Linked DNA regions of Nothobranchius furzeri. The protein of the gene in region 1 interacts with the protein of each later gene in a pairwise test. Links are inferred from orthologs where the notes say so. Each region holds a gene or a part of one and is shown on either strand. Other genes may lie near its edges.

Region 1 (4,498 bases):
TTAGTCCTCTATATGCCAGTTATAAATAGTCTTTTTTAAAAGGTCCTGTAACAAATGTGGCTCTTTGGCGGACTGAGGAGAAAATACTGCCATGTGATATTTTTTTAATGGTGGCCAAAAGTGAGTTCTGTAAAACATTCAACAAGTCAGAATATAGAACCAAATATCTGACATATTAAGTCATTTTTTGTGAAAACTCAACAAGTCACAGACGCCATATTTGAGGATTTGATAATTTTGCGTACTTTATAATAAAACCATAGATAAATGAGAATGCATGCGTGTAACTTATAAAAGTGTTGTAATTCAGGAAGGAAGTTAAAGTTGTGAAACGTGTCACTGGCACTTACTTTGCTGTCAGGATGGAAATATTCAGATTGTTGGCTTCAGCACGAATCTTCTCATGTGTTCAAAATGTTGCAAAAATAAAAACGTTGTATCGTACCTGCAAAATAAAAGCGAATGGAGGAAAAAAGAAAAATGCTTATTCTAATTTCTGAATAAATTTCAAAATAAATTGGTCTGATAATACATTTCAGAACATTATTATATGACTGTTTTTATGAAAATTGTAGCTGTGTTGGTAAAATATCTTAAATAAAGAGAATGTAGAGTTTTACTTCGTATTGTTTTAAAACTATTAAAGCTTTTTTAACATTTAAAGGGGAACTAGGCTGTTTTGGTTTGCTTTTAGTACCCCCTAGTGTTTGCTTGTAGAACAGAAAGCAAACGTATCTCCTCGCTGTGCGTTTGTCTTTTGAACGCCTTAATCTAACAGCTGAAATGCTGGAACCAGACTGCAGCACCAGGTATGTCAGCTCGATTTTTTCTAAGTCCCAACAAAACGGCCACCAGTCTAAATTTGCAAGTGGAACATTCTGACCACAGGGGGCGATAGAGGCTGGGTAGCCTTTAAGGGTCATTTGAGCACATACTGGCTCAAAAAATGATGTGAAAATATAAAAAAGTATCCCTTTAAACAGGATTTTGATGTTTTCAGCCTGTTTGTGCTCTTGTTTTAAACAATATTAAATGAAACTTCACCCATGACTTGATTCAATTCCAAGCATTTCCTTTTTCCACCACAGAAAAATGTGATTTATTTTTTAAAACTTTTTTGTGACCAACCAGTTACTGGCTTGAGCACACCAGTGGGTCATTTGTCTTTTCTGGGGAGTTTCCATAATCTGCTTGTGACTGTGCTGCTTTTATTTAATAGCTCCCATAACCAGCTTGCATTCATCATTCAAGCCTGACTCAGTCAAACGTGACCAAGTGACAAACCCTCTAAACATGTGTGAAAGTTTTGTACATTATTACCATTACAAACACAAACATTTCTAAATACAATCCAGGCATTGATTAGAAAATGTGCTAAATATCAAATCTGGAATATAGTGGTTGGGGTTTTAATGTCAAATTCAGTGAATAATTCCAGAATTATTTGTCAGGTGATTATGTTTCTTAGGTTTCTATTCCCTGTGTGAGTAGGGAGGAAACAGAACTGTGGTGTTTGGCCAGCCGAACAGGGAACTAGGAGGCGTTCCACAGGGAAGAGAAAGGAAAATGGAAAGGGGAGCAGTGAGTCAGCAGAGGGGTGGCAGCATGGGATGACAGCAGGTAGCTAAAACCTTACGGTTTGCTTGTGTCTTTAAGATTTAAGCTAAAATCAACTTTACTGGTGAGTTGACCAATTTTTTGAGTGTGTGATTTAATGTGTGAATGATATTTTTTATTTTGAAGCACTTTAATTTTCAGCTGAGATACGTGTCTTCTATTTCTCTTGTTTTGATCTGTGTGGAGCTTTATTCTAAGGCTTGATGCAGAACAGTTTATGCAAATCAAATATTGCTTAAAGGATTATCATGTAGAAAATCCATATTTGTATGTATAGCATAGATAGGCCTATATATTTGCTGAAAAAAGCAAATTCAGTGGACGGTGAATAAATTAATATACAAGCAATATCAAATATCATTGGCTGGATACAAACATTAAGCAAAACATCCATAAAACAAGGCACAAAAAACTTTCAGTCAAATTTTCTTTTGAAAATAACTGGGGGGGGGGGGGGGGGGGGGTTATAAAAATAAAAAATGAAAATGACCTAAGAAACTGAAATAATGGTAATTTTCTCTAAATGTTTTGAACAAACTGTAAATTTGATCCCGATAGGAACAAACGCAAACAACACAAACTAAATTTCTGTCATGAACTCAATCAAAGAGGTGAGTGGTATTTCTCTATTCAGGCCATTCAGATGTTAAATCATCTTTCTGTTCCTCCCATCACCATCAGAAGTCTGATAGCTGCAACAAAAGCACAGTAGCTGTCAGGCTGGTAGACCACTGTTACGACCGTTGGAGGGCTCTGCTTCAGTCTGTGGCAACAGTTTGTAAACCACCATGACCAAAAGGTGCTGAAAAGAGCGTGGGATTAAACATAAGCATTAGTAACTGTTTTACTCTCTACACCGTCTGGATGCTGCGGCTAATTTCTCCAAGTATTTGCAAATAAATATGATGCTTGAGTTTGATATAGTTGATTTGAAATGCCAAAATAAGTCATTTGAATTCACAATTTCTTTCTTTGTAACCCCACATGTGTAGTGTGGGTAGAATATATATGATTATTATTGCTGTTATTATTATTATTATTATATAATAGCTCACAGTCTTTCATCTTTTACATGTTTTACACAAAGGGTTATCTTAATAAAATTCACAACAGATATAAATAAATGCAGTTTTATCATAAAAAGTTACATTCATGTTTGAGATGTTTTTCCACATCTGCAATTTTATTATTTTTCAAGTCTTGTCAGTACATGTGGGTTGTGCATCAGTGGCATGTCTAGAATTTATTTTGGGGGGTGGCACATATTTAGATAAGGGTGGCAGTTGTAAACGGCTCATAACTTTGAAACAAAACTTCATATTTTTTTACTAAATTACTAAGCGTTGATCATGATCTAATTGGCTACTATAAACTAAAATAAAGCCAAAGCACAAACATGGTGCACTTTTATCAATAATTATCTGACACTTTTCCGTTAATGAATGCATACATTTATTATAATAACATTGGGACTTTCCCTGACATTGTAAAGTCAGAATTATTTTAGAAAAGAGAGGAGGACGCACTTTGGATTAAGTAGCCCTGCAAACAAATGTCACATGGATGTGCAGATCCTTAAGTCTGTTAGTCCAGACCACGTCTGCAGGACATCCAGACTAGGTCTTTGCACAGTAGGAGATATCATTTCCAGACTAGCGTTTTAGTGCATTTTTACTTTTTGTTTATTTGTAATTATTTAAATATTTTTCACCTAACAACATAAATAGATGAGCTTTAAAACATAGCATCAATGAAAAAATGTACCTCAACAAGAAACAGAATGGTTTGTTGTTTTGTTTGAACCCAATAGTCTCGTCATCTGAATTTCTGAAATACTTTGGAGCATTAACCAAGCTCAATTTAATGCAAAACATACTAAAACAGTAAACACCATGCCATCTCACCTTTGATTTGATATTGTTTATATGTTTTAGATTTTTATTTATTATATGCACTAGATGTTTTACTGTCTCAGTTTCTGGGGTGGCACCTGGGGTGGCCAGTCTTTTATGCAAGGGGGCCTGTCTGTGCCTCTCCCCCCTCGCCTCCCCCAGGCCCCCCTCTAGACACCCACCTGTTGTGCATCTGTGTTCAGAACAAAATTACAACAAAACAGGAGTTTAATAAGCATAAAACGCTGAATAAAAGAGAAGAGTGATACTGGGACTTGTGTGTTGCAGAAAGCCCATATTCATGTCAGGAGTCCAAACAACAGTCTGTTGTAAACACTTTAAAAATCTGCTTCTCACGTGTTTGTCTTTCGTATTCCTGACTTATTCGCTGAGGTTAGTCTTTTTCAGGGTTAATGATTTATTTCTAAGGCTGTTTCATGAAACAGAGTGACGCTCCTTTGTGCTCAGTAGGTGGGATATGCTTTTCAGTACTGAGTCAGTCAGAGAGGAGCCCCCTAGCGGCCGCGGGCCCCTACTGCACCAGGTTGTGACTGAGAGAGGGAGGAAAATGGGTGAACGGAAAGTCCCTGCGTGGAAATCCCCTTGACTTGGACTTTTTTTCTCAAAAAAAAAAAAAAAAAAAAACTAGCGTTAGCGGACGTGAGTGTCTGTTGTTTCGAAAAGCTTCGCGAGCTGCGAGAGCTCCAGAATAGATCTGATACAGAAGGAAAGAGGAGGTTGAATGGCGCCGAGAAGCGCTGCGCTGAGTGAAGTGGCTGAGAGAGGACTAGCCTGAGCATCCGGGAGGCTTTGTTACTACCTCCCGACATATTACACAGGTAAGACAACCGTCCTGCCTTCTACGTCTCCGTGTGGACAACATTCCCCGCCGAAGGCGGTCAGACTGAGTAGATACACCATGTTTGGGCCTGGAGTAACGTGTGGTCGTGTTTCTGGGGACATGGAGGAGGAAGCCTGCTCACGACAGT
Region 2 (3,823 bases), on another chromosome or scaffold:
AAGTTAAAATTTAGCACAAAGAAAGTAGTTCTTGATTGCTCAGTCAGCAACATTTTTATTTAATCATAAAATGCATTAAATTCTAGTATTTGTTTTACTTGTGTCCAGAGAGAAACATAAACACACACACATGTTTGTTCATGTTTCTTTTTCATCATTGTGGTGAAATAACTGCTTGATCGTTTCTTTGAAACTTTGATCGCCGACCATGGACAGGAGTCTCGTGGCCAACATGCTCACAATGGCCTCGGTCAGGCCGTTAGCTTGCTGAGACGTGCACGTAACAAACTCATTGAAGAGGAGCACTTTTATTAACGCTGTAATGTAGCGGGATACAATTAATCATTAGTGTTTGCACTTAGTGTGTGTGCATTCAAGTTTCACTTTTGTTTTATCCGTGCAGGTCACGTTATTGTCTTTTTGCTTTTTATAGGCCATGTTGGACCTGTTTTTTACAGGGGGGTTAACCGTGGTTAATAGTAAAACCAGTTAATACCTGCAACCCTAGGTACAGCCTGAAGAGGAGATGTGGGTCTTCTTTCCCATGGGCTCACCGCTCGTGGGAAGGGCCATGTGAGATGGTAGATGGCCAAAGGCGCTTTGATCCTCGACTACAGAAGGTGGCAGTTGGTACATAGAATGTCACCTCTCTGGTGAGGAAAGAGCCTGAGCTGGTGTGAGAGGCTGAGAGGTTCTGACTAGATATAGTCGGACTCACCTTGATGCATGACTCTGGATCTGGAACCAGTTTCCTTGAAAGGAGCTGGACATGTTACTACTCTGGAGTTGCCCCCACTGAGAAGCGCCTAGCAGTGGTGGGCATACTTGTGGCAGCCAGTCTTGGTGCATATACGTTGGGGTGTGTCCCGGTGAATGAGAGGGTAGCCTGCCTCCACCAATGAGTGAGGGGACGGGTCTTGACGGTTGCTTGAACTTATGCACCAAACTGCAGATCACACTATCCATCTTCGCTGGAGTCCTTGGAGGGGTGCTGGAGAGCACTCCATCTGGTAACTCCCTTGTTCACCTTGGAGACTTCAACACTCACATGGGCAACAACAATGAGATCTGGAGACGTGTGGTTTGAAGGGACCCCCCCCCCCCCAAATATGAATTCAAGTGGTGTTTTGTTATTGGACTTCTGTGCTCATCATGAATTGTCCATAATGAACACCATGTTTAAGCATAAAGGTGCCCACATGTGCACTAGCGCCATGATACAAGATAGGACACAGTTTGATAACTGACTTTGTTGTAATCGGCTCTAAAAATGTCTCAAGCTACTTTTTCAATTACCAACGACTTGATATTACGGGGAAATGTATTTATTATCAACTTACTGTGTATGACTCATCTTTCCTTGTCATCCGGAAACTTCTATTGCTGAGCTGTAACTGGCAACAGATGTCAAACTTATGGAACAGGAGTGAAACAGTCACTTCGGTGTCATTAGCCATACATTAGTTGCATTGAAGCGAGTAGATGTAGATGAACTGTTAGATCACTGAAAGTTAGATACAGTCATTCTACACATTAAGGTTTAAAAATGCATTCTCACAATGTTGTCTTTTTGGTCTGAGAAGTGCCTTTTGTAAAATCTAAAGCTTATAATAACTGTGGACCAGTCACAGGATATCATTGTTAATTTTTTCATTTTTCTTTCTCACTGTCTAGGCACTGCTGAAAAATTGATGGATTTGTACCTGGACAGAACCTCATTGAGCAGAAACATGGACACGTCAAACTTTGCACATGTCATCTTCCAGAATGTGGGGAAGAGTTACCTTCCTCATGCTGCACTGGAGTGTCACTATACCCTGACAAAGTTCATCAAACCACATCCAAAGGACTGGGTTGGCATATTTAAGGTATTATGAAATGTAAACCTACCTTAGTTCTGTGACTACCATAGAAGGTAAATCTTATATTGGCTAGTTGCAACATGAAATAAGTAAATCTCTGCTCAGGATTTTCATACTGCAAAAGGAAAAGGCAAGAGGCTTGGCAAGAGGAGTGGAGCATTTTGACCCAAGCACACGTTTAAGTGTCCCACATGGATCTCGTTACAGGGGGCACATTAAACCCAATACGGTGGCAGTAATTTATTTTGGCCTCGTCTGAAGTTTAGCTAGTCTCTTCTCCACCTGCATGGTTTTATCTACCAGAGAACAGATGAAAGTGTAGATAGGCTGACGATTGTTACAAAAACACAAACTTACAGCTCTGTTCACATCTCTTCCTGCTTGATTTGGCTCCTTGTGTTTGGTCTTTGTCTAAAGATGGAACCAAAGAAATTAGAGTTTATCATTACTCATGCTAAGGCTGAAGTCCATCTTAGTTGTTGAGAAAAAGTCGTTAAAAGTCTATTTATTTTTAAGTGTCACCAGAAGGTAAGTTACACATCAGCATTGATTTGAAGTTCTAAACATTGTTCACTATTTTCTCTTGGTCAAACTACTGCAGCTTATTAAGAGCAACTATTTGATTCCATTCAATTGTGGAAGGATGCCAAATAAAAGTTGGGGTCTTGTAGTACATATTTTACACACACGCCTTTATTTCACTCCCTGTAAAGCTCTTGCACATGTTTTCTTTATTTCATTTGTTGAAATGGAAGTAAACAATTTTCATTTTGCAAATATGCTCTTTTTACACTGGTTGGTTCTAGGGCTGCAGCTATCGATTATTATAGTTGTTCATTAATGAAATAATTGGATAATCCTTTGTTTACTTGAAAATGCGGTAAAAATGTAAACAGAGCTGTACTAGTTGTGAAAAATGAGTCAACCAGTATATTTATATAACAACATTTATTTTATTCAGTTCCTTTTCATTTGCAGTCTTTAACTCAGAAGCATGTTCAGCTGAGAAGGATGGATTTTCTGGCCCAGTCTGTCAAATGATGCTGATTCCTGAAATATAGAGAAAATACATTTTGTTTTCCAGCTAACAACTAGGGTTGTTTTTCTAACAATAAAACAAACTAACTCCCAAACTGTTATACATTTACTGTTATAAATTTTTTTGCAATAAAGATAAGAATTCCAACGTTACAAATAAAATACTTGAAAAAAAAAAACGCATGCAAAACCAAAGCCGACAAGCAAGCAAGTGCTTAGTGACTTTTATCTAGAGAGGTGCTATACAAAAGATCATTCCTTCTTCAAACATTTTAGTCTAATTCTCATACTGACTTGCAATAAAACATGGAGAAAAAAAAAACACTTGTTGCCTTTTAGAGGTACCAGCTAAACATTTCTCAGTCTCAGTTAGCATACTGGCGATACTCAGTTTATCTTCATTTAAACTCTACAGCACACACCTTGTCTTAGATCCATAGCTGATGCCTGAAACTGGGATGCTTTGTGCTGGGGACGTACTGCTGTTGGCCGGGATGGCCGGCCCTGTGTGGGGATCTGGGCGGGGCCTTGGGGGTCGGGTCCTGACATGTATGCTGCCGGGAAGAAGGCAGGAACATGCAACAGTGCCTGGCCCGGGTTCGGGGGCCTCAGGTAGACCTTGGCTCCTCTGCCGTTCCATCACAGGGGAGGGGGAGGACCCAACTTTACCTGGATTTCCCATGTCATATATTCTGGAAGTTGTGCAAATGTGGGAATGGGCATAGATATTCTGCTGGGGCAAGTGGGCAAGTCAGGGAGTGCGGGTATGGACCCCATTTCCGCATTCCTGTGGCAACCTGCCCCCCAATTTTATTTGCACCTTATACACTTCCACCGACGACATTCCACACAAACACACACTTAGGGCCTTGGGAGTGAGCACATTCAACGGCATTTGGCAGGGGGATATCTCAGCCTCCTCC

The links.
Region 2: the proteins of tnfaip3 (region 1) and tax1bp1b interact in binary tests that used the Homo sapiens proteins (3 or more experiments, as listed by UniProt). The link is inferred for Nothobranchius furzeri from reciprocal best matches to the Homo sapiens genes TNFAIP3 and TAX1BP1.

Annotation. Positions count from the first base shown.
Region 1 is NC_091752.1:25,134,818-25,139,315, reverse strand, and holds the start of tnfaip3 (tumor necrosis factor alpha-induced protein 3), read left to right. Parts: upstream 1-1,603; 5' UTR 1,604-1,681; intron 1,682-4,207; exon of another isoform or gene 4,208-4,348; intron 4,349-4,498. UniProt on the Homo sapiens protein: Ubiquitin-editing enzyme that contains both ubiquitin ligase and deubiquitinase activities.
Region 2 is NC_091757.1:59,022,313-59,026,135, reverse strand, and holds part of tax1bp1b (tax1-binding protein 1 homolog B), read left to right. Parts: intron 1-1,674; 5' UTR 1,675-1,691; coding exon 1,692-1,868; intron 1,869-3,823.